2 linked regions of the Pelodiscus sinensis genome follow. The protein of the gene in region 1 purifies or fractionates together with the protein of each later gene. This does not show direct contact. Links are inferred from orthologs where the notes say so. Each region holds a gene or a part of one and is shown on either strand. Other genes may lie near its edges.

What was found.
Region 2: the proteins of SYMPK (region 1) and CPEB1 purify together in Homo sapiens (affinity purification with mass spectrometry; 3 studies listed by BioGRID and IntAct, counting the BioPlex papers as one, with this or other methods). This does not show direct contact. The link is inferred for Pelodiscus sinensis from reciprocal best matches to the Homo sapiens genes SYMPK and CPEB1.

The regions. Positions count from the first base shown.
Region 1 is NW_027465849.1:6,378,353-6,390,496, forward strand, and holds the start of SYMPK (symplekin), read right to left. Parts: upstream 5,250-12,144; 5' UTR 5,103-5,249; intron 4,385-5,102; exon of another isoform or gene 4,382-4,384; 5' UTR 4,263-4,381; coding exon 4,155-4,262; intron 3,111-4,154; coding exon 3,045-3,110; intron 2,794-3,044; coding exon 2,740-2,793; intron 2,265-2,739; coding exon 2,191-2,264; intron 1,714-2,190; coding exon 1,587-1,713; intron 1,074-1,586; coding exon 824-1,073; intron 685-823; coding exon 514-684; intron 25-513; coding exon 1-24. UniProt on the Homo sapiens protein: Scaffold protein that functions as a component of a multimolecular complex involved in histone mRNA 3'-end processing. Specific component of the tight junction (TJ) plaque, but might not be an exclusively junctional component. May have a house-keeping rule.
Region 2 is NC_134724.1:36,951,507-36,963,650, reverse strand, and holds the start of CPEB1 (cytoplasmic polyadenylation element-binding protein 1), read left to right. Parts: upstream 1-6,569; 5' UTR 6,570-6,683; coding exon 6,684-6,698; intron 6,699-6,878; exon of another isoform or gene 6,879-7,011; intron 7,012-12,144.

The sequences.
Region 1 (12,144 bases):
TGGCCAGGGTCGGCGGCAGGTTGGCTGGGGGAGGGCGACACGGAAAGGGGGTCAGGTGTGCGGAAGGGACCCGCTGTAGAGAGGGAGGCTTGGGGGTAAGCCTGGGGTCTGGCTCTGGGCAGGGAGGGGCGGAGGGGCCAGGAGGGGCGGAGGGGCCAGACTCCAGGGTTCTACCCCCTGCTCCGAGCAGGGAGTGGGATGCAGGGCAAGGAAGGGGGCTGAGGGGCCGGACTCCTGGGTTCTATCCCCGCCTCCGGGCAGGGAGTGGGATGCAGGGCGAGGAAGGAGGCTGAGGAGCTGGACTCCTGGGTTCTACCCCCGGCTCCGAGCAGGGAGTGGGGTGCAGGGCGAGGAAGGGGGCTGAGGAGCTGGACTCCTGGGTTCTATCCCCGCCTCCGAGCAGGGAGTGGGGTGCAGGGCGAGGAAGGAGTCTGAGGGGCCGGACTCCTGGGTTCTACCCCGGCTCTGGTCAGGGAGTGGGGCCCCGAGGTGGAACCGGGGGGCAGCACTTACCGTGCAGCGTCTCGTAGGCCTGGATCACCTCGGCCATGAACATGGGCCGCTGGCGGGCGATGCTGGCCAGGGAGCCCAGCGCCGCCGTGAGGTTGATGCTGGAGATGGCCGGGTGCACCATGAACTTCAGCAGCTGCTCCAGGGCCCCCTTGCCCTCCTCCCACAGCGCGTCTGCAAGGCAGGAGTGGGAGGGGTCACGGCACAGGCCGCAAGCCGCGCGAGGGGGGTGGTTAAGGCATTTGGGCCGGGGGGGGGGGGGGGGGGGAGGAAGAGCCACGTGCTGACAGCCCCCGCGGGCCCCCCCACTCACCGTGCTTGATGTAGGGGTGGTCCTTGGGGATGCGTTCCAGGCTGATGTCGTTCTTGTGGTGCTTGGGCACGTCCGAGTCGGGCATGCGGGGCGAGAGCGTGATGATCAGCCCCTCCACGAATTTGATGGCGTGGGTGCGGATGCCGTCGTTGTCCGAGTCCAGCAGCAGGATGATGTCGCTGGCCATGGCCGACACCATCTCCCAGCAGGACTCCTGCAGGTCGTTGATGACTCTGGACTTCACCATCCACTGCCGGGAGCCAGAAGGGAAAGGTGAGAACCAAGGCGGGCTGCCCTGTGTGGACCACTCCGCTGTGGGAGCAGCCACGGCTGGAGTAGCCAGGAGCTCCCCCCACGGCTAGTGCCCCCACCCTGCTCCCCCCTGAAGCCTCTCCAGAGAGAGCAGCTCTTGCCAGAGCCAATCCTGCAGCGCCTCCTGCTGGGAGAGGCCAGGGCTGGAGTAACCAGCATTTTCCCCCACAGCAAGTTCTCCCTGCTGCAAGAGGCCAGTGGGGAGCTCCCCATAGCTCCTGAGATTCCCAGCAGGGGGCGCTGTGGGATGCTGGCTAAGGCTAGAATACCTGGGAGTTCTCTCCCTCCCCCACAACAGCACCCCCTGCTGGGAGAGGCTGGAATAGCTGGGAGCTCCTCCTGCAGCGCCCCCTGCTGGGAGAGGCTGGAATAGCTGGGAGCTCCTCCTGCAGCGCCCCCTGCTGAGAGAGGCTGGGGCCGCACCGGCTGGCGCTGGCGGACGAGTGCTCACCTGCAGAGCCACCTTGTAGAGCTGGGTCATGGCGAGGATGGCCTTTTTCACCACGTTGACGTTCTCGTCCTTCAGCAGCATGTTCAAGTTGGCGATGAGCTTCAGCAGGAGCTCAATGTCCCGTTTGCTGGGGCGGGGGAGAGGACAAACTCAGGGAGGAGAGCGCGAGGCGAGGCGAGGCGAGCAGCCCAGGAACAGCGCAGCTGGCTTCCATGGACCCCTTACCTCTTGTACTGGCAGGGAAACTGAGGCAGGGTGGGGGGGAACGACTTGCCATGGTCACACTGGGAGTCAAAGGCAGATCAAGGCACAGAACCCAGGAGTCCTGGCTCCTAACCACTGGACTCCCCTCCCCCTGCTGGGAACAGAACCAGGAGTCCTGGCTCTTCACAGCCCAGCTGTAACCTACCGGCCCCGCTCCCGGCCTGCTCACAGCACGGACCTTAGCTGGAGATAAGCGAGCGCAGGGAGTGGGGTGGGAGCGCTCCCAGCTGCTGCAGCCTGTGGGGAGTGAGGCAGCTGGCTGGACGAGGCTCCCATCTACTCGGTGGGAAGGGAGGTTACAGCCAGGGGCTCCAGGGTGCAGCAGCCAAGCCGTCCTTACCAGGCCTCCTCGATGAAGCCGATGACAAACTTGCGCACCTCGATGGATTTGTCCGCCTGGAAGGCGATGATCTCCTGCAGCCGGAGAGGCAGGCGGTCAGGGCTGGCCCCAGCTGCCCAGCAGGCAGCAGAGCTGGCCAAGAGGAGGGGGCAGGGCAGAGCGGGGCTGGGAACACGAGGCACAGCTCGGCCGCCCCCAAACGCAGGCAGGGCGGAGGCTGCGGAAAGTTTTAGGTTAGGCCCGGGTGAGAATATTCACACTCCTCGGGTCTACGTCGGACACTGCCCAGGCTTGACGGGCATCTGGGGCTCCAGCTTTGGGCAGCCCCCCACACCTCAGCCCCCAAGCTGTGGGCCCACTGAGCAGGGAGCTGATGTTCTGTCGTGTCCTTTGCTCGGCAAGTCAGAGGAATTCTCCGCCTCGTTCAGCTGCCATGGGGAGGGGGCTGCTGAGCGAAGGGGTGGCAGTGCCAGTGATACGGCATCAGCCCTTGGCATGGGCACAAGGAGAGTCAGGAAAGGCGCCCCTGGCACGCCCACGGCTACTCACATCCAGGAAGTTATCCAGCAGCGTGGGGTCCTTGTTTATAATTAGCTCCTGGACCTATGGGGAAAGCAGGGACAGCAGGTGAGTCTTGAACCAGTGGAGAGGTTTTGCAGCATCAGCCATTGCCCATCTGCCCACCCCCCCATGGAGTGCCCTGCCCCACGGACCCACCCACTGTGACATGAGGGGCTCTGTGCAGGGTGGAGTGAGCCAGGGGCATATGGTGGGTTCTGTTTTCCCAGCGTCCTCCACTCCCAGCCTGGTGTCATCCCATTCCTGCGGGGAGGGGGGGCAGCGTTCTTGCTCACCTTTTTGAGGATGGTGATTTTAGAGTCATTGCTGATCAAGGCAGCCTGGTTTAACAGATCCACCACCTGCAGAGAGAGGAGCCCGTGAGGAAGCACCAGGGCACTCGAGGGCAGCTTGGCTCTAAGGAATCCCTCCCAAGACGATCAAACTGGTCACACCCAAGGGCCAAGCGAGGCTGAGAGCTCACGACAGTTCAGAGATAACTGCTCACGCAGCACAACAGGACAGCACAAGCAGAGATGGCAACCAGGCCAGGAGTTCTGGTGGGAACAGAGGGGCGGCCTGTGGGGACAGGGGGCAGTTGGCAAGAACAGGGGGGCGGCCCGCGGTAGCTTGGGAGGGGTACATGGCAAATGCCGATGGCTATCCTGGTGACAGACACCCATCCCACTAGCACTATGGTAGTGCCTAGAGCCCCTGAGATCAGGGCCCCATTGTACCAGGCGCTGAACAGACATCGCAAGAGATAGTCCCTGCCCCAAAGGGCTTCCAATCTACCCCCTCAGCGATCCAGGGCTCTGCCAACACCAGTCTAGTTTCCCTCCAGCGTGGAGGCCGCCATACCCTGTTGGCGTGGGGGAGGGGAATAGCCCACGCCAGGGTTGCACCGGTGCAATATACCAGGAAACGGATCACATCCCCACCCAGCGTCAGTGGCCTTGGGATAAAAGCTGCACAGACAAGACAGGCAGAAGGGGAGCCAGCCCCAGGGAGAGGAAGGGGTCTGCCCAAAGGGTCCCAGAAGAGCAGGGGCAGGGGGGAAGCCAGGTCTGTGAAGACCCAGACAGGTGCCTTCTCCCCAGACTATGCGGCCTCACAAGAGCTAGCCAGAGCCTGTAAAGACGCGGTGCACTGCAGGGAGATCACTGGGGAGCACATCATGTAGCCCCAACATTTAGACCTTCACTATACACATGGAAAGTGGACTGTAACTGACAAGGCAGGTGACCTGACTAACTTTTCCTGAACTTGGGTCCCAGGTACTCCCCCGCCCTGGGGCTGGAGCAGAGCCGGCGGAGGGGAAAGACCCTGTATCTCGTTTCCCCACCCCTGGGCCTGTGACACATGGCCGGATGAGAGCCAGCCTTCCCTGCCTGCTCCCCACGCACCCTCTCCGAGGTGGTCATGCTGTCCGTGCCGCTGCCCTCCTCCTGGGTGAAGAACTGGGAGGCGATGCTCAAGCGGGCGTTGCCGCCATCCCCTGTGCCGCTGGCCATGGCTCCGGGTGCAGGGACGGGGCCGGAGCCCGAGCGCGGATACGGCCCCTGCCAACGGGTCTGTGGAAGGGCAGCGCCGCGCCGGCCGCTCCGGGTGGCCCTCGGCCTGGCTCCTCCAGCTGCTAACGAGGCGACTGGTCAGCACCCTGCTGGGAGTGGTCCCCAGCCCCGCCCCCCTCCTGCCCCTTCCAGCCAGACCCCCCAGGCCCCGCCCTGGCCTCACCCCGTTTCCCCAGGGGAACCCCAGCTCACCCCACTGCCAAGCAGCCCCCAGCCCCCGTCCTGCACCCCCCAGATCCCACCACTCCGGGCCAGCCCCCTGCAGCCTCCAAAGCAACCCCCCCCACATCGCCAGCCCCTCCCCCCTCCCGAGCCCCCCGCATCGCCAGCCCCTCCCCCCTCGCCAGCCCCCCCTCCCGAGCCCCCCCGCATCGCCAGCCCCTCCCCCCTCGCCAGCCCCCCCTCCCGAGCCCCCCGCATCGCCAGCCCCTCCCCCCTCGCCAGCCCCCCCTCCCGAGCCCCCCCACATCGCCAGCCCCTCCCCCCTCGCCAGCCCCCCCTCCCGAGCCCCCCCGCATCGCCAGCCCCTCCCCCCCCCTCGCCAGCCCCCCCCTCGCCAGCCCCCCCCGAGCCCCCCCTCGCCAGCCCCCCCTCCCGAGCCCCCCCGCATCGCCAGCCCCTCCCCCCTCGCCCCCCCCATCGCCAGCCCCTCCCCCCTCGCCAGCCCCCCCCGCATCGCCAGCGGCCCCCCCCTCGCCAGCCCCCCCTCCCGAGCCCGCCCGCATCGCCAGCCCCTCCCCCTCTCAACGCCCCCGCCCGGGCCAGCGGCCCCCCCCTCACCCGCTCGCTATCCCGCCCGGCGACCCCTCACGTCGCGCGCGGCCCCCTGCCGGCCGCCATCTTCCCGCGGCCCGGGCGGTGCGCACTGCGCAGGCGCGCGCCGCAAAGCCCCCTGGGACCTGTAGTTCTGGCCGCGCGAAGGCGCCGCGCGGGGGTCGCTGGGTAACTTGGTCCGTCGCCCGGTGCTGCCGGCCTGGGGATGGGACAGCTCCCACCTGCCCTTTGACCCCGACCCCTGCCTCTCCTCTGTGCCCTTTGACCCGAGAGCCCTGGTCACATGAGCCTCTCCTCTGTGCCCTTTGACCCCATCTTCAGCCTCCCCTCAATGACCTTTGACCTCTGACCCCACCGCCCCCTCCCAGTGATCCCCTTGGCCCTAGACCCTCACCCCACCCACAATCTGCCCATCCCCCGCCCAGGGGCAGCAGCCTCCCCTCCCCCAACACCTTTCACCCCCCCCCGCCGGACCCTCCCCCTCCTGCGCCCGCCCAAAGGAGTTCGATGCCCATTTTGGCCTGGGTGGGCCTCAGCTGGTTTCAGAAAAAAATTCCGAAAAAAAAGGACCCAAGAGTTGTTAAATAAACAAACACAACAAAAAACGAAAGAAAGAAAGAAAGAAAGAAAGAAAGAAAGAAAGCAAGCGCGTGGCCCCTTTAAGAATCGCCTACCGAACTGTCCGGTTCAATACTGGACACCTGGCAACCCTAGCCAGGGCCCACCCACTTAGCCATATGCCCACCCAAATATGCCCCCCTTTGCCTGTGTCTGGAGCACAACTCCTGTCGAGGTCGAGCCAACTTAGCGTGAAGTTCAAGTAAATTTATACCAGGCCGTTTTCTTAATGGTACATCCTATTGGGCATATAAACACATTTGAACAGACTTTAGCCAATCCAAACCAAAGCCATGTCTGCTGATGTCCAGTATCTTCAACCTGTCGTCATTGTTCCATATTGCTTGCAACCTCTCTGCCGATATCGGGGCGAGCGATTCCAGCAAGCGCGGAAAAGCTGTGGTGGGGTATAGACATCCCGGGAGGTAGAGGAAGCTGTCATGCAATGCCGGGTCCTGTTTCTCTGCATGGGCCAGTTTTGCTCACACCAGACAGGTGTATTCAGCCATCAAATAGCCAAGTGCAGGCGTGACAGTTTGGAGCTGGGCTGGTTCCCCAAGTTGAATTGGTTCACTCCTAGTGTGTTAAGCGTTGGACAGATAGGGTTGCCAGATGGTTTCAACAAAAATACTGGACATACTTGACATGACATCACAATCTACATTTGTCTTACTGAGAAAATACTGGACATTTCTATTTTCTCAATTTGTTTCCCAAACAGAAAGCTCAAATACTGGACTGTCTGGTTCAAAACCAGACACCATGGACAGAACCCAGAATTCCTAGCTTCTAGCCTCCCTGCTCTAACCCACTAGACCCCACTACCCTAGGGTTGCCAGGTGTCCGGTTTTGAACCGGACAGTCTGGTATTTGAACTTTCTGTCTGGGAAACAAATTGAGAAAATACCGGACATAGAAATGTTGGGTATTTTCTAATTACCTACGTTTTATTGTTATAATGAGTATCAGTACGTAGCTGCGTACTGCCTGGCTGGTCGACACACTCGCACTGCGTGAGTCACGCTGCGTGAGCGCGTCGACCAGCCAGGCAGTACACAACTACACAGTGGGGGGAGGGGAGGGTGGAGCCAGGGTGGGATGGAATCCCTGGGGCCAGACTTACCCGTGTGCCGCGCCGGGACCATGCGCGGGATGGGCAGCACCACAGGATCTGCGTGCGCCCGGGGCAGCCCCACTCCCCACTGGCTGGTTCTCCCCAAGCCAGCCCTGCTCCCTCCAACCCCCTCCCAGCAAGCCCTGCTTTCCGCCGGCCGGTTCCTTCTCTGATCTCCCCCAGCCAGCCCCACTCCCCTCCCGGCCGGTCGCCCTCCCCCTCCCATTCTGAGATCACGTGTCTGGTATTTTTTTGAAACCCATCTGGTAACCCTACACTCCGCTACCAGAGCTGGGAATAGAGCCCTGAAGTCCAAGGCACTTAGCTTTGCCTTTCACTTTCTCCATGTGGGTAGGGTTGCCAGATGGTTTCAACAAAAATATTGGACACACTTGACATTACATCACAATCTACATCACGTCTGATTGAGAAAATACTGGACAGTTCTAGTTACTCAATTATAGTTTCTCAATTTTTTTCCCGAACAGAAAGCTCAAATACTGGACTGTTCGGTACAAAACTGGTCACCGGGCAACCCTACATGTGGACCTCAAAAGAGAGTACAGGCAGGCATCACTCCGAAACAGGCAGGAACCCCGCACCGGGCAAGGGGTACCTCATTCCAGATGTCAATTTGGCTTCCAGCCTCATAACTGCACTGAGGGAAGAGATTCACTTGTGTTCTGTCTGGGCTGGCACGCAGCCGGTTCTTGGTGTAACCGATTGAGACCCTGGATTGCGCTACTGGTAACACAACTTCAGCCTGGATCTTTGGCCTGGGCAGCAGTGCATGGGTCATCAGTATAGCCAAACTTCTCCTGCCGAGATGGACCGATTGGTCGGGTGGATTGAGGAATGTAAGCGAGAGTATGTTCCCTTGAGGTCAGCTGTTCTTCCGTCGCCCCATCCGATCTTCTTGCATAGTTCGTCATAAGGATGTTGCGTCTCCAGCAGAGAGAGTATCTCTCGTGCGAGGTGGTGATCTTTCAGTAGGCTGTGTCTTTAGTGAGGGTGAGTCACTGGGGCATGGGCTGCTGAGAGGTGACAAAAATGGCGCCGTAAGGGAGATTTTATTTTGTTTTACCGTGTTACGCCTTATGTCACCATTCATAGAATCACAGACTCCTAGGGTGGGCAGAGACGTCAGGAGTCATCGAGTCCAGACACCTGCCCAAAGCTGGACCAACGCCGACCCAATTATCCCAGCCAGGGCTTTGTCAAGCCGAGACTTAAACACCTCTAGGGATGGAGACTCCACCCCCTCCCTAGGGAACCCACCCCAGTTCTTCCCCACCCTCCTACAGAAATAGTTTCCCCTAATATCCAACCTCGACCCCTCATGCCCTCCCTGCAACTAGAGACCATGGCTCCCTGTTCTGCCATCTGCCACCACAGAGAACAGCCTCTCTCCATCCTCTTTGGTACCTCCCTGCAGGAAGTTGAAGGCTGCTCTCAAATCCCCCCTCACTCTTCTCTTCTGCAGACTAAACAAGCCCCAGTCCCTCCGCCTCTCCTCATAGGTCAAGTGCTCCAGCCCCCGAATCATTTTTGTCACCCTTCACTGGACTCTCTCCAATGCGTCCACGTCCTTTCTGTACGGGGCCCCCCAGAATTGGCCGCAATACTCCAGATGTGGGCTCCCCAGTGCCAAATAAAAGGGAATAATCGCTCCCCTAGATCTGCTGGCAATGCTCACTCACTTTGCCATCACTCAGCCCCCTTCCACTTCACTTCCTTCCACCCCCCATCCTCCCCTTCCCATTTCTTTGCAGTTCGCTTAGCCCGTCTGAATTCAATCCATCCCCAAAATTGAGAGGCTGTTTGCTGCCAGCCCACTGTTCAGGACTCCTGAGTTTTACTGGGAGGGGAGTCTAGTGGTTAGAGCAGCAGGGCTAGGTACCAGGACTCCTGAGTTCTATTCCCAGCTCTGGGAGGGGAGTGAGTCCCAGTGGTTAGAGCAGCAGGACTAGGTACCGGGACTCCTGAGTTCTATTCCCAGCTCTGGGAGGGGAGTGAGGCCCAGTGGTTAGAGCAGGGGGGCTGGAAGCCAGGAATTCTGGGTTCAGTCCAATGGTTAATTCCCCTCCTTTTGAAAAATTGGCACTTGATTTCTAGCCTGACTGTCTCTCGTTTCAGCTCCCAGCCTCCAATCTTGCTCTGCCTTTATCTGCTGGATTAAGGAGCCTGCTGCGCTCCACGGTCTCGTCTCCCTGCGGAGGGGCTGAGGTGCTGGGGGTGGGTGGTCGTGCCTGGCTCAGCCAGTCCCTCAGGAGCCTCGTTGTATAAGGGGGTGCGATTGGGTTACGCGCTCCCCGCCGGGGATTAAAGGCCGAGCAGGTAATTAGTTAATTGTGGCCCCTCGGCTCGCTGGCTCTTTTGTGCTTGCTCTGGTGCCTTAATCCCAAAACCAGCGGCCGGATCAAGCGTTCTCCTGACAACGGCCGGGGCACCGGGGAACCAGCAGGTAACAGGAGCCTTTGGGGAGAGATGAAGCCAAAGGCAGGTAAACAGGCAGGAGAGGGCATGGGAGAGGGGGAAGGGGAGACACATTGGCCAGGGCAGGGGGCCCGCGCTGGGTTCAGACTGGGGCAGTGGCAGTGGGGAAAAGCGAGCGACATTACCAGCCCCACACCCTGCCCCTCATGTTTGCCAAGGAACCCAGGGTCAGGATAGCAGGGGCTGCAGGTTGGGAGTGAGGGGCACCACCAGGTCTGGGGGAACCCAGGGCTGGGCTGGCAGGGGACTGCGGGTCAGGAGTGAGGGGCACGGGCAGAGCTGTGTGTGGGGAGATACAAAAGCAGAGGGGATTGTGAGCTGGGATATGGCCCCTCTTCCGCTTTCGGTCCCAACCAGCAGTGTGATGTTGCTGCATCTTTTAAATAACTGCTTCACTTCATTCCAAAGGAGGCTGCATCTCAGTGCCGGGTGAGGGGTCCCTGTGTAAGCAGCCCCTGCACCCCCCCAGAGGCAGCTGCATCTCAGCGCCGGGTGAGGGGTCCCTGTGTAAGCAGCCCCTGCACCCCCCCAGAGGCAGCTGCATCTCAGCGCCGGGTGAGGGGTCCCTGTGTAAGCAGCCCCTGCACCCCCCCAGAGGCAGCTGCATCTCAGCGCCGGGTGAGGGGTCCCTGTGTAAGCAGCCCCTGCACCCCCCCAGAGGCAGCTGCATCTCAGCGCCGGGTGAGGGGTCCCTGTGTAAGCAGCCCCTGCGCCCCCCCCAGAGGCAGCTGCATCTCAGCGCCGGGTGAGGGGTCCCTGTGTAAGCAGCCCCTGCGCCCCCCCCCCAGAGGCAGCTGCATCTCAGCGCCGGGTGAGGGGTCCCTGTGTAAGCAGCCCCTGCACCCCCCCAGAGGCAGCTGCATCTCAGCGCTGAGTGAGGGGTCCCTGTGTAAGCAGCCCCTGCACCCCCCCCAGAGGCAGCTGCATCTCAGCGCTGAGTGAGGGGTCCCTGTGTAAGCAGCCCCTGCACCCCCCCAGAGGCAGCTGCATCTCAGCGCTGAGTGAGGGGTCCCTGTGTAAGCAGCCCCTGCACCCCCCCAGAGGCAGCTGCATCTCAGCACCGGGTGAGGGTCCCTGAAACCTGTCCCTAATTCAGTGCAGGACTCGACTCTTTCATTAGCACCGAGGTGCCGGGAGCCCCCTTCTCTGGGGGCTGTCACAGCCCCCCACTGGGTCTATTTGAGGACACGGGAGAGTGGGCGGGCTTTCTAAAAGCCCCTCCCCCAGCCTTGCGGGAGGGACGACTGGACCCGTGCTCAACTAATTCCTGGGGACAAATAATGACAAAAAGGGCAAGGCGTGCGGGCTAAAGGTTTATAACTAGGGAACCGGATGGGGACAGCGAGCAGAGAACCCCGGACAGCGCCCACTGCTCCTCAAAGCTGTCGAAGGAGCCAGTGGACGCCGCCCAGAGGAGCTCTGCCCGGATACGTGAAACCAGGGAGGAACGGAAATAGGCCCCACAGTCGCAGAGAACCCCTCGTCCAGCATCCTGCTCCTGGTGTTATAGATAGCGGTCTTTGCCAGGCCAGGAGCAGGTTGACGAGGAGGTCTCGCGACTTTGTGGGGCCACGGATTGGGTGTGCATAGACAAAAAGGTGAGGGGAAAAGTGCAGCCAGAACCTCAATAAGAGGTTCTGGAGGAGCCGGAATAGGGGCTGCACCCTGGCGCATTCGAGGTAGGCGTGCGCCAGGTTCTCCCTCACGCCGCAGAAGGGGCAGGTGTCTGGGATGGGGGTGAACACGCCCGTGCTCACGGCTCCGTGCAGGAGCCGCCAACTGATGTCCCCGACGGGCCGCGGAATTAGATCGGAATAAACGCTGGCCCTTCGGGGTCTCCCACCCTCTATAGGTCTATAGTCCCGCCATTTGGTGTCGGGGCGGGACATGAGGGTGGGGAAATGCAGGGTGTGGAGCACGAGCGTGTGCAGCTGTTCTCTGGGCGCGGTTCGGAAACAGACCGGCTGCAATTTTTGCAGCTGGCTGGGGGTCCAGGGATGGGGAGGCCGGGGGGGCCCGTGGAACAGGGGCCCAATAATAAGGGCCGGAGGCTTTGCAGGAGGGGAGGGGCGGGGCGTTCCCTCTCGCAAGGACCGCTGCAGGAAGTCGAGAGCGGGCCGCGGCAAAGCCGCCTTCACCTCCTGGAGTAGGCGCAGGGGGGCTCGGGGGGTGGAGAGCCCCATGCGCTGAGCGAGCGCCCGGGGGTCCCCCCAGTCCCCCCCGTCGTAGTCCAGGAGGTCTCCGACCATGGTGGTTTCTGCCAGGATCAGCCTCCGGCGCGCCGAGGGAGACTCCGCCACCTGCACGCACAAGGCTGGATTGTGGAGCAGGGGCTCCGCGCCGAGGTCTGCTCCCTCCGAGGCCACAACGGGCCTGGTCGCCGAGAGCAGCTGCCAGGTCTGGAGGAGGTCCTGGTAGAATTCCGGGAGAGTGGCCGGCCATGGGTTTTGGGAGGATCCCATTCCTTGTGGGCTCCAGGATCCCCCCCCATGTTTTGCAGTGAGCCCACCCTAAGCCTCCTCGCCCCTCCCTGCGGCCAGGGGATCCCAGCGCCCTGATTGGTCCTGGGTAAATCCCGCTAAAGCTCCTCTTGCCGGTGCCCTGTCCTTAAATAGGGGCTGGGGCGCCAGGCAGTGCCACTCGGGCACCCTGCTCCCACCCCCTGCCCCAGCACTCTGCCCCCGCCCCTCCTGCCCCAGCGATCTGCCCCCGCCCCTCCTGCCCCAGCGCTCTGCCCCTGCCCCTCCTGCCCCAGCGATCTGACCCCGCCCCTCCTGCCCCAGCGCTCTGCCCCCGCCCCTCCTGCCCCAGCGATCTGCC
Region 2 (12,144 bases), on another chromosome or scaffold:
GCATCGGGGGGGGTGCTTTTGCATCCTGCACACCCCCCTGCGCATGGGCCTGAATCTGTGGGCTGCGGAGGTGGGCGTGGCCCCAGGACGAGGGGGCAGGAGCAGTGGGAGGAGCCAGCTGTACAACCGTTCTCCCATTGGGGCGGCCGAGGGATGGAGCCACACTGGACGACAGCTGGCCCCATGGAACACGATGTTCTCAGCGCGTAGGAGGCCCCACAGCGAAGGGTCCCCGAAGGCCGTGGACAGACAGATACCGCCGCTAGGTAGCGACTCTCAGCCTTGGCATATCCTCCCGCTCGTTTCCTATCCCCCGCCCAGCACTGTACCACACAGAGCCAGGGCACCCTGGCGACTAGCTCACAGGTTTTCTCTTCAGGCGACCCGGTGCTGTCTCCAGCTGTTAGCCTCTTCGAGGCCGAGGACAAGTCCATGCTTCACTCTGTGCCTCAGTTTCCCCATCTGTTCAATTAAAATATCCAGGGGGAGCTATGAGGTGCAGGTGCCAGCACTGGGCTGCACGGTAACAGTGACTGTGACTGTACGAAACGCCCAGCACCACAGCCGCAGAGACGCTCAGACCGCAGGCATGGCTGTGGTCGCGTTAGACCCACACCTACCCACACACTGGCCCGTGAGCCAGGGTTGCTTTGGCCACCGGGGGACACTGTGGCCGGATGACAGCTGCACAGCAGGGCCCTGGGCAGGTAGCAGCCAACGCTGCCACTGCTGAGGGGTTTCCGCTCACGCCTGGACTGCACGCGACGGCAGCAGCTCGCAGCCCCAGGAGGCCTGCACGAGCACAGTGCTGACGGGGGGAGGTTTGCAGGGTGACATATGGTCCCTGTGTTTTGATGGCAGCCGTGCTCATGGTGCCCTGCCTTTCCGGAGCCACTCCATGCTGCTGCTCTGGGGAGCTGCCTCCCCCCAGGGACTCCGGCGGCTGGGCCCGTGCTCGAGTGGCCTCGTTAGCGGGACCCGTGGTGAGACTTCTCCCCGCACTGCTCGTGCCTCCCAGGAGCTGTTGACATGGCAGCCGACAGGCTGTGCCCCCGAAGAGCCTCTGGCTAGTGCCAGGGAAGGCTGGGCTGGCTCCCAGGCCGCGGTGCCTGAGGCACGGACAGCTCCTGGCTACCGTGAAGAGAAACATTCACATCTGCAACCCGCCGTAGGAGAACTAGTCTCGTCCAGGCGACTGCTGGGTCCCTGGGTTTCCCCTGCAGCCTTCCGTGCGGGGAAAGGAGCAGCCCTTCCTGCTCCCCCTCTGCTTCGCCTTGAAATCCCTGGACCCGCTCCGGTTTGCGAGCTGGGAAACCGGCGATTCCAGGCCTAGCGGCTGCAGACCAAGCCAACTGTGACGATGGGCCCTGCCTGCGTTCACCCCCCTACTTCGGAGCATTAGCAAATGCACAAAGGGAGTTAACGTAAATGGGAAACGTAAACAGCCCTAGGTTTGGAGACGGGGGGATTCTCTCCAGGGCCGCTTTGGGACCAAGCGCATCTTTTCCACTCCCCCCTGCCCTCCCCATCACAGTCAGCAGCCTAGTGCCTGCCCACAGGAGCAAGGCAAGTCCCTTTGCAGCTTGGCTGCACTCGCTGGGCCTTGTAATCACTAGGGAGAGGGCTCCGAGGTGGAGATTCCAAGGTCAGAAGGGCCACTGCGAGCTCTTCGACTGACCTCCTGGGTAGCACTGGCCAGAGACCAGCCCTGGAATATTCCCTGTTTGAACTGCAGCAGATCTTACAGACAGACCTCCAGGCCGCGTGTGCGATTTGCCCGTGACGGAGACTCCATCTAACCGGGGATAAATTGTTCCAATGCGGAATGACCCTCGCTGGTAACAATGCACACCCCTGAGGCTTACTTCCAGCCTCCATCTGTCCTGCTCCAACTTCCAGCCTTGGAGCTTGTTAGGCCTTTGCATGGCCAACAAGCCCATTCGTAAACAGCTGTTCCCCACCTGGGTACTTAGAGACTGTGATCAAGTCACCCCATAACTGCCCTTGTGTTAAGCTCAATAGGCTGCGCTGCTGGAGTGGTGGGTGAAGAGCAGGTTTTTCCAACCCCTAATCTTTCTCATGGCTCTTCTTTGGACCCTCTCCAATTATTCAGCCTCCTTGAATCGTGGGCACAGGATTCCAGCTCCTGTCACACCAGGGCCAAACCCAAAAGTAAAATAACCTCTCCGCCCCAATGCAAATTTCCCATGTATGCCCCCAAGGATCACCCTTTAGGCTGGCAGCTCATGTTGACCTGGAAATCTTTTTCAGAGTCGTTGCTTCCTAGAATAGAATCTCCCAGCTGGTAAGCGTGGGCGCCGACTTATTTTTGTTCCTAGATGGATACCTTTATGATTGTGTCTCTTAAAATGCACATTGTTTGCTTGCCTACCCTTGTGATCCAGCTCTCTGCCCTCTGTGTTATCGACCAGGCCCGGACAGCAAATGGTATTAGGGATGATTTAATCATAGAATCACGGAACACTAGAACTGGAAGGGACCTTGAGAGGTCATCGAGTCCAGTCCCCTGCCCTCATGGCAGGACCCAGCACTGTCTAGACCACCCCTGACAGGTGTCTGTCTAAGCTGCTCTTAAATATCTCCAGCAATGGAGATTCCAGAACTTCCCCTGGGCAATTTATTCCAGTGTTTGACCACCCTGACAGGTAGGAAGTTTTTCCTAATGTCCAGTCTAAACCTCCCTGGCTGCAGTTTAAGCCCATTGCTTCTTGTCCTGTCCTCAGAGGCCAAGGAGAACAATTTGTCTCCCTCTTCCTTGAGACACCCTTTTAGATACTTGAAAACCACTATCATGTCTCCTCTCAGTCTTCTCCTTTCCAAACTAAACAAGCCCGATTCTTTCAATCTTTAGTCTTTCCTTCATAGCTCATGTTCTCTAAACCTTTCATCATTCTTGCTGAAACAAAATACAGGACGATATAGCACTTTAAAGACTAACAAGATGGTTTATTAGATGATGAGCTTTCGTGGGCCAGACCCACTTCCTCAGATCAAATTGTGGAAGAAAACTGGCACAACCATATATACCAAAGAGATACAATAAAAAAATGTGACCACATATAAAATTGACAAATCAGATTTTAGAACAGAGGGGGGGTGAGGGAGTCCTGTCTTTTGTTTCAGCAAGACCCGACTAACATGGCTACATCTCTATTACTTTTCATCATTCTTGTTGCTTTTCTCTGGACTTTCTCCTAGGCTATGGCTACACTGGCGCGATCTTGTGCCAGAGATATGCAAATGAGGCTGTGTGGAATATCACCAAGCCTCATTTGCATACCTAATGCGCCACTATTTTTGCAGAAGAGGCTCTTGCACTAGAAGGCTCTGTCTACACTGCCCCTTCTTGTGCAAGAAAAACCCTCTTGCGCAATGCCGCTACATTGATTATTTTCAGGAATAACGGCATTGCGCAAGAGGGTTTTTCTTGTGCAAGAAGGGGCAGTGTAGACAGCTCCTTCTGGCGCAAGAGCCTCTTCTGCAAAAATGGCAGCTCATTAGGTATGCAAATGAGGCTCAGCAATATTCCACGCTTAGCCTCATTTTCATACTTCCAGCGCAACAACCCGCCAGTGTAGACATAGCCCTAATGTTTTCTTCCAGGTCATTAACAAAAGTATTAAATAGTGTAGGGCCAAGAACCAATCCCCACTAGAAACTCCTTTGCTCCATGACGACTCCCTGTGTGTAGTTCCATTATGACACCTGGCCATTAGCCCCATTTTAATCCATGGCTGTGTGCCATGTCCATGCTGTATCATTTTCTAGTTTTAATCATCAAAATGTTGTGCAGTACACAGACAAATGCCTTACCGGAGTCTCATCACAACACGACACCCTTCTCAAATTTGTCATCTCTAAAAAATATCAAGTTAGTTTGACAAGTTCTATGTCCATAAGCCATGTTTATTGGCATTAATCGTATTATCCGCCTTTAATTCTTTGAGTCATGTATTAACTGGTTCATTATCTTCCCCATGAGCAGCCAATATTATCTAGTGTGTCCCATTTACCCTGTTAAATATTGGCACGACATTCCCTTTCTTCCAAAAGCCATGATAAGGGCACGGCTGCTGAGCCAGCTCTTTTAAAACTCTTGGCTGCCTGTTATCCAGATGACCTGATTTAAAATGTCCAGTTTTGGTAGCGGCGGTTTAACATCTCCTGTGTTACTACTCCAGTGGAAAGTGTCAGCATAATCTGGCCTCTGCCATTTGATACTGAGTAGAAATATTATTGATCACTTCTGCCTTGCTGCATTATTATTGATAACTCCCCCTTTCCAGCCAGTAATCTGTGCTAGGAATCCCTTTTGTTCCTGAGAACTTTAAAATCCCCTTTTTATTGCCCTTGCTGGGCACAGATTTCTCCTTTGAGCCAGTCTGTGCCAGTGTGGCATACATTCTGATGAAGCCTTCAGTTCTTGCTTTCCAGCATCTATGTCTCCATTACCTTCTCTCTTCCTCCCCACCCCACACTCCAGCTGATCAGGGTGCAGAGAGCACCTTGAAAACCTGAACCAAGTGAAACTGATGCCTTGAAATCTGCCTAGGGGACAAATCCAGCTCAGAGCTGTGAAGTGCCTTTGGGTCCCTGTGGGCTAGCACCCCTCCCCCCCTAGACACCGAATGTCACCATTGTTGACTACTTCACCAATGGCAAAGGCATGGCAGAAAGGCGAGGAAGGTTGATAACATGAAGATCTGCTTAATCTCCTGTGCATGTCATCTCTGCCACCCTGGGGAAATCAAGGGCAAGAAGCCCAGTGGGATGCGTGGTATCTGCCCAAGACGGGTGTGGGGTCCCGGTGAGGAAGAGCAGAGTGCATGGAGACCAGAGAGCCTGCAGGCAAAACTGTAATTTGAGCATCTGCACAAACTACATGGGCACCATCTCAGGGGCAGAGCTTATTTCAGGGGCAGAGCTTGGAAAGGCACCTCAATTGGCCCGACTGTACCATTCTCCTGACAGACAGGTCTGGCTCATCCTAAGAATGTTTTCCTAAATTGGCTAGCGGCTGTAGCAAAACTAGGAGGACTAGTGTGCCAATGGCCTTTTCAGCCTCATGTTCCACAGCTCTGCACCTGGGCCTATTGAATGCCTGCCTATGCTGTTCTTGATATTGCTACCACCTGCGTTAGCAGCCCGGGGACACTTTAAAGCAGCCACTGTCCTTACAATCGGAATGGCTTGTATCAGGCATCTCCATTTGGCCCAGACAGACACAAATATTTCCATCACACCAGACAAGAATAATCAGTTAATTAACACAGCCAATGCACAAACACACCAGAGCACGGTCTTATAACCTGGGCTCTCTCCTCCTGCAGAGTTATGAAGGCTGTGCCAGATTCTCAGCTGCTGTGAATTAGCATTAGCTCCAGTGATGTCGATTCCAGCTGAGATCCAGATCCTCGGAGTAATTTGATGCACGATTACCCCCAATGGGCTTGTTCAGCTACTTTTGTGCGTCAGGCCAGGGGGAGGGGAGAGAGAGAGAAGTCAATGCTTGCAGAGAGACACAGGCTGGGTTTTGAACACTGAACAGGTCATTTTCCCTGAAACTTAAAAATAGGTCTACAGGACACCCCCCTGTTGGAACACCTACATCGCTCAGCCATGTGAAACCCCCCCTGTCCTGCCAGCCCTGAGCAGCAGTTTTACTGACTCCACCGGTGTAGCAGTGCTACCTGCACATGACGACTGCTGCCACCCACGGTTGCGACTGATTCTGTGGACTGAAGCTCTCCCATTGCACAACAGCAGCTCACTAAAGTGCTACAGACACACATGAAAAAACCAGCCCTGTAGTCACTGAGGGCTGAGTCCGGCTTGGGGGCCTCTGGCCCCTGTCCGCTCAGTGCTGCTAAAGAGAAGAGCAGCTCCCTGCAATGAGGCTGGAGGGCTGTTGTCAAAACGGCCCGTGGCCTGAAAACCACGTGTGGATTTCTAAGGGCAGCATGCACATTGCCAGCAGCCAGTGCCTCGCTCAGCCATGCATCTGGCTGCTCCCATAGCCCAACCCCAGGGGGACTGGATCAGAGAAGGTCATGCTTGGAGACACGTGCCCAGCTCTAACCACTAGACCCCACTCCCCACCTGCAGGGGAGGGGGGACAAGCACAGAGCTGGCCTCCCCCACTCTAACCACTACACCCCCCTCCCGCAGGGGAAGGCAGCAAGCACAGAACCCAGGCCTCATTACTCTAACCACTAGACCCCACTCCCCACCTGCAGGGGGGCCAAGCACAGACCTAGGCTCCCCCCTCACTCTAACCACTAGACCCTCCCCCCTCCCGCAGGGGGAGGCAGCAAGCACAGAACCCAGGCCTCATTACTCTAACCACTAGACCCCACTCCCCACCTGGGGGGGGGGGGGGGGGGGGGGGGGGGGGGGGGGCGCGAGCACCAGCCCCTCGTGCCGGGCCAGGCGCCGCGCAGCAGCCCGAGCACGCGGCGCGCCCTTTAACAGCCTTAGGGAGCGTCTGCAAAGAGCGCGGGGCCGGGAGGGCGCAGCGGGCGCGGCGGGGTGGGCGGGGCGGCCGGCCCCGCCCTTTGGCGACGCCCCCTGGCCCCGGGCGGCGGGCGGCTATAAAAGCCTGCGGGGCGCCGCGCCGCCCGTTGCTGCTGGTGCGAGCCCGACCCGCTGCGCCCACCGGCCCCATGGCCTTCCCCCTGGTGAGTGCGCCGGGCGGGGCGGGGCCGGCGGCACGTGTCGGGCGCTGCGGGACCGCGTGCTGGCCCGGGCGGGGGCGGGGCGCGAGGCGCCTCGTGACGGGGGGGGCGCTGCCGGACCCGCCGCGCGGGGCTCGCGCTCGGCCGCGCGCCTCCCTCCGACCCCCCCCTCGCGCGCGGCCGGCAGGTGCTGGCGGGCGGGGCCGCGGGACGCTCGGCCCCTTTCAGGCGGGTCCCCGCAGCGCCCGCCGGCCGGGCCGCCCCTCACGCGGCTTCGCACGTTCCCGAGCCGCCGGCTCCGCGCCCCGGCCGCCAGGTGAGGGGGGGCCCCGGCGAGCGTCCGGGCTGCTGCCCTGAGGCGGGGGGGGGGCAGCGCGTGTCGGTCCCGCCCTGGCCCCGGGGTGGGCGGGCCCCCCCTTGGCACAGCCCCCCCTTTCCGCTGGGCCCCCGCGCCAGGCCGCTCTGCATGGCCATTGGGGCAGCTGCCCCGGGGCCCCTAAAGCCGCGTTGCGGGGGGGCCTGGCAGCAGCTCCCCGCCCTGGGCCCCTGCACGTCTGGGTCTTGCTGCCTGGCTCCTGGCTGGGAGGCACTAGCTCAGCCTTGCACTGGTGCGCAGGGTCCCGGTGTCCCGCCTGTGCCCGTGCCAGCGATGGCGTGTGGGGCAGATAGAGGCTGCTCATCTTCCCGGCTCTTGTCTCCAGCACGGAGTTTGTGCAGGTGGGCCAAAAGCAGTTGAAGGCTGAGTTGTGATTGGCTGCTTAACTGGCAGTGGGGTAGGGAAGTGGCTAGGTGGCATGAAAATGTCCCCTACTTGTGACCTTCCTTAGGTGCTGCTTCAGTAAACTGCCCATTTCTGATCCCCACGCTACTGATGAGGCATGAAATGCCTAACAACCTTGAGAATTAAATTATCATTTCGTGTCTGGTTTAACCCCCTCGTTGTGATGAATGGGGCTCTTCAGACCTCTGGTGGCTATTGTTGCAGTCTGCCTGAAGAACTGTGCAGATGTTTCTACAGCTGTTATACTTGCTTTTTGATGCTTTGCTTGCAACCATCACATCTAGCCATGCCCAGCAACAGCTAGGGAGCAGCTTCAGTGATGTGCCAGTGTGCTGTACTGCTGCGAACTGAATCCTAACTTGTCGGCGCTCCTCTGCTTTGGTGAATGGTGCTGCAGAGGAACCACAGGTGTCCGTGATCCCCAGCACTTGTACCTATGCTGCACACAGGAACTTGCCAGCCATTTTTCAGCTACCTGATTGCTGCCTAGTTGTCTGTGGTGATGCAATATAGCACTCTAATTATAGCACTGCTTATTTGTATTAGATAAGGTGGATAACTTAAGGCATTAGATGACACTGGGAGTTTTGTCTGAAGTGGCTGTAATGCCATAATGCAGCGTTTAACAATAGCAGAGGGTGTTATCTTTCCCTAGAGAAGAACACTGAGTTAGTAGTGATAGTCCATAATGGGATGGGTCAGATGCCTGCTGCAGCAGCTGGAGAGACTCTCAGACTAGGACAAATAAATGTCTTTTTACATCCCAACTAGCTACCCTCTCTTGGGGAGGTGGATTGCCTGCCCTATGCCAATAGATGGGTTTAGGCTGGCGCAGCTGTAATGCTTTAGGCGCAAACAAGCCCCTGGCTGTGAAGGAATATCTTCCATTTCTGTAGGAAGTACCAGCACTACGGTGCACAGTGCTGTAGCTGTCCTGCTGTCGTGTCTGCTGGGTAGTTAGGGCTGGAAGCGCTGGAGGGGAGCTTCAGAGGCCTCAACTTGACTTGGTTCCAGTGGGTGTCCGCTCTTAGAACTACTTCCTCTTTGCTACCACCGCTGGGGGCTACCCTACCAAATCAGGCCGATATAGCAGTGTTGCACAGGGGTGTCTTTGAAACTGTCGTCCTTGAGATGTGGTCAAGATGACCTGGTGTAGACCTTGCTGGGCTGAAAAGTGTTCTTCTATCAACCAGTTGCTGCCTCTGAGGGAACTTTAAGGCTGTAATAAGCATCTATGCTGCAGTGAAATAGCTACTACCGTGGCATTTCCTGAGCCAGTGGTTCTCAACTGGGGGTATGCAGAGATCTTTCAGGAGGTAGTTTAATAAAGAGAAATGCAAAGTGCTCCACTTAGGAAGGAACAATCAGTTCCATACATACAAGATGGGAAGCGACAGTTTAGGAAGGAGCATGGCGGAAAGGGATCTAGGGGTCATAGTGGACCACAAGTTGAATATGAGTCAACAGTGTGGTGCTGCTGCAAAAAAAGCAAATATGATTCTAGGTTGTATCAACAGGTGTGTTGTAAGCAAAACTCGTGAAGTCATTCTGCTGCTCTATTCTGCACTAGTTAGGCCTCAGCTGGAGTACTGTGTCCAGTTCTGGGCGCCACATTTCAAGAAAGATGTGGAGAAATTGGAAAGGGTACAGAGAAGAGCGACAAGAATGATTAAAGGTCTAGAGAACATGACCTATGAAGCCAGGCTTCATGAACTGGGCTTGTTTAGTTTGGAAAAAAGAAGATTAAGGGGGGACATGATAGCGGTTTTCAAATATCTAAAAGGGTGTCACAAGGAGGAAGGAGAAAATTTGTTCCTCTTGGTTTCTGAGGACAGGACAAGGAGTAATGGGCTTAAAGTGCAGCAAGGGAGGTTTAAATTGGACATTAGGAAAAAATTCCTAACTGTCAGGGTGGTCAAATATTGGAATAAATTGCCAAGGGAGGTGGTGGAATCTCCCTCTCTGGAGATATTTAAGAACAGGTTAGATAGACATCTGTCAGGGATGGTGTAGACAGAGCTTGGTCCTGCCTTGAGGGCGGGGGGCTAGATTCGATGACCTCTCGAGGTCCCTTCCAGTCCTATGATTCTATTAAATGTTTAGCTATATGCCTCATTTTACCTCAGGCTACATAAAAAGCATGGGCAAGGTAAGTGCAAACTTGAATTTCATACAGCCAGTGACTTGTTTATATTGATTTGTATGCTGTGATATTTTTGTCTCGCTTTTAAAAGTAAGCAGCTCTTACGTGAGGTGAGACTTGGGGTATACAAGACAAATCAGACTCCTGAAAGGGGACCAATAATTTGGAAAGGTCAAGACACTGCCCTGAGGTATCCTGGCCATGATCTCTCCTGTGGCTGCTTTCAACTTCAGCTTCTTCCTAGATTTCTCTTAAATTAGTAACATTGGACAAATTTGTTTCCTTTTCCTGATCTGTTCTGCTCCTCATCACAACTTACCAAACCTGTTTCCTTGCATCTGGCTCTCTTTGAAGCCACCTAGCACCTCCTTGCACTTCCTTTCAAAGTGGCCTGTAGTCTAAGGGTTCTTCCTTAGGTATCTTAGATACCTGTATCAAGGAAATCCTAGGTCTCAAAAATCCTGAGGAATGTTAAATGCCAATTATTGTAAGTTTCCATCAAACAAAACATGCAGATTTGTTATGCCCAACTAGCTGTGAGGTTGGATTGAACCTGGCTTAGAGGCGGTCTTCCAGAGCTGCTGTGGATAGGCAGTTCTAGTCTCCCCCAATCAGTAATGGTCAGAGGGGTTCAGCATCTTGCTAGCTGTCTACCGTGGCTTCTTGGCTAACAGACAAGATTGAACTGTGCAATAAGTGCATCCTGATGCTGACAGAAGTCTCTTCTGGCCTATCTCTGCTGTCCTAGGAAATGGCATTGAGCACTTGGTTAGAGCAACTGAAAATGGGTGTCAAATGAAAGAGCAAGTTTGTGCTTGGGTGTGAATGTAGAATTTCAAGCCTGCTCAATCCCATAACAGGTATGGGAATTGTTCATAGAGATCAAGGGTGGAGTCTGGTCTTCATGGAATAATTGAACTTGGTTAGTATTTACTATCCTGCTTAACTAGTAGGGAAGTTCCTTCCACTATCCTGCTCTTCAGCCACTTTTTATTGCAGTCCCTTTTCTCTCTCCACCCTCCTGTGTGCCTCTTTGCCCTCTAGTCTGTTGCTGCCTTGCAGCAATTCCCAGTCCTTGGTCTCCAGGGCTTCTGCCCCACCCTTCTCCATTCTAGCTGCTAAGAGGTGAAAGGGGGAACCACCTAGAGGCCATTCTGTGAAGAGAGGGGTGATCAGGAAACAGAGCACTGTGGACAGGTCTGCCCTTCTGCAGCGCAGCTGTGTCTAGGCAGCATTACCTGAAGACTGCCCTAGGCAGGTGCTTGATCAGCCTCCGGCAGAGGTGGCTGGAGAAGCTCTCCTGTGGACAGAGCACTTGCTGCTCGGGGGGGGGGGGGGGGGCTGTGGCTCAGGGCTGTGGACTTGTCATCCCACCAAGCAGTGTAATTCTACAGCTATAGGGCTGCAGTGGACCACGCTTAGGTGACTTAGACATGTTACTGGAGCTGTGGAAATGAGGGATGTAAAATCCTGTCTAATTAACCAGTTAAATGTTAAGTTTAACTGGCAGGGGTGGGCAGCAGGCTCCAGTGGTCCCTGCGCCACAGGCAGGGGCTGCTCCAGAATGGCTGTTTCTGACCCCATGCTGAGCAGCCAGCTCCCAGCTTGCAAGGGCTGGGAGTCTGCCCCACAGGAAGTGGCCTCGTACTTGGCTGCCAGCTCCCAGCCTGCGTGAGCTGGGAGCCGGCAGCCCTGTGGGGCTGGAGCAGCCTCCTGCCTGCTCCCCGGTAACACTAACTGTTACCCATTCACATCCTTAATGGAAACTTTCATGACATTTGAGTGCAGGGGGAGTGAACTGGGTCAGACTGCTGCTTACTGACTCTAACTAGGTTAACAGGGTCAGTATTAATTGCCTGTTGCAGGGCTGGTCACTTGATCGTGCACTTGACTCCCTTCCTTTGGCAAGAATTAACTTGAGACCAGAGCAGCTGAAGCCAGTATGGCTCTTCCTTCTGTCTGTGCACTAGCATGACAATATTGATGCTGTCAGGAATGTGCTGTGCACATCATTCCACAACGTGTATAGCTGTGGCCTTGCTTGCGGGTGCTAACGAGCCTGGGTTGCTAAAAGAGGCCTTAACACACACAGCACTGGGTAGCACCAAAATGGCAGAAGCTGGTATTGGAGCTGGCATCCATAAAACCATCATTTGGTTATTGAGGTTCATATCTCTCGCACCTGAGCAGGTATCTGGTTCTCTTTAATCTGTTCCCTTAATAGGGTCTCAGCAATTGTTCTCAGTGGGGACTTGGTTTGATGGATTTCAATGCTACAGTGCCAGATCCTGCAGGAATTGAATTACAAGCTCTGTTGGGAGGAAGATGGTGCTTTTGTAGTCATGACGATTGTATGTGAGGCTCCATTTAAACACCTTAAAGTTTGTGGTAGGAATTCAAGGAGGCTAAAGGAAAACTCTTAAGGAGTGCCTTTTGTGTGTGTCAGTTTTCTGTCATAGTGCAGTGTCTGCAGAGAATCCCCATAATAAGACTGAGTACTCTTCTCAGCTGGTCAGGGCTAAAGT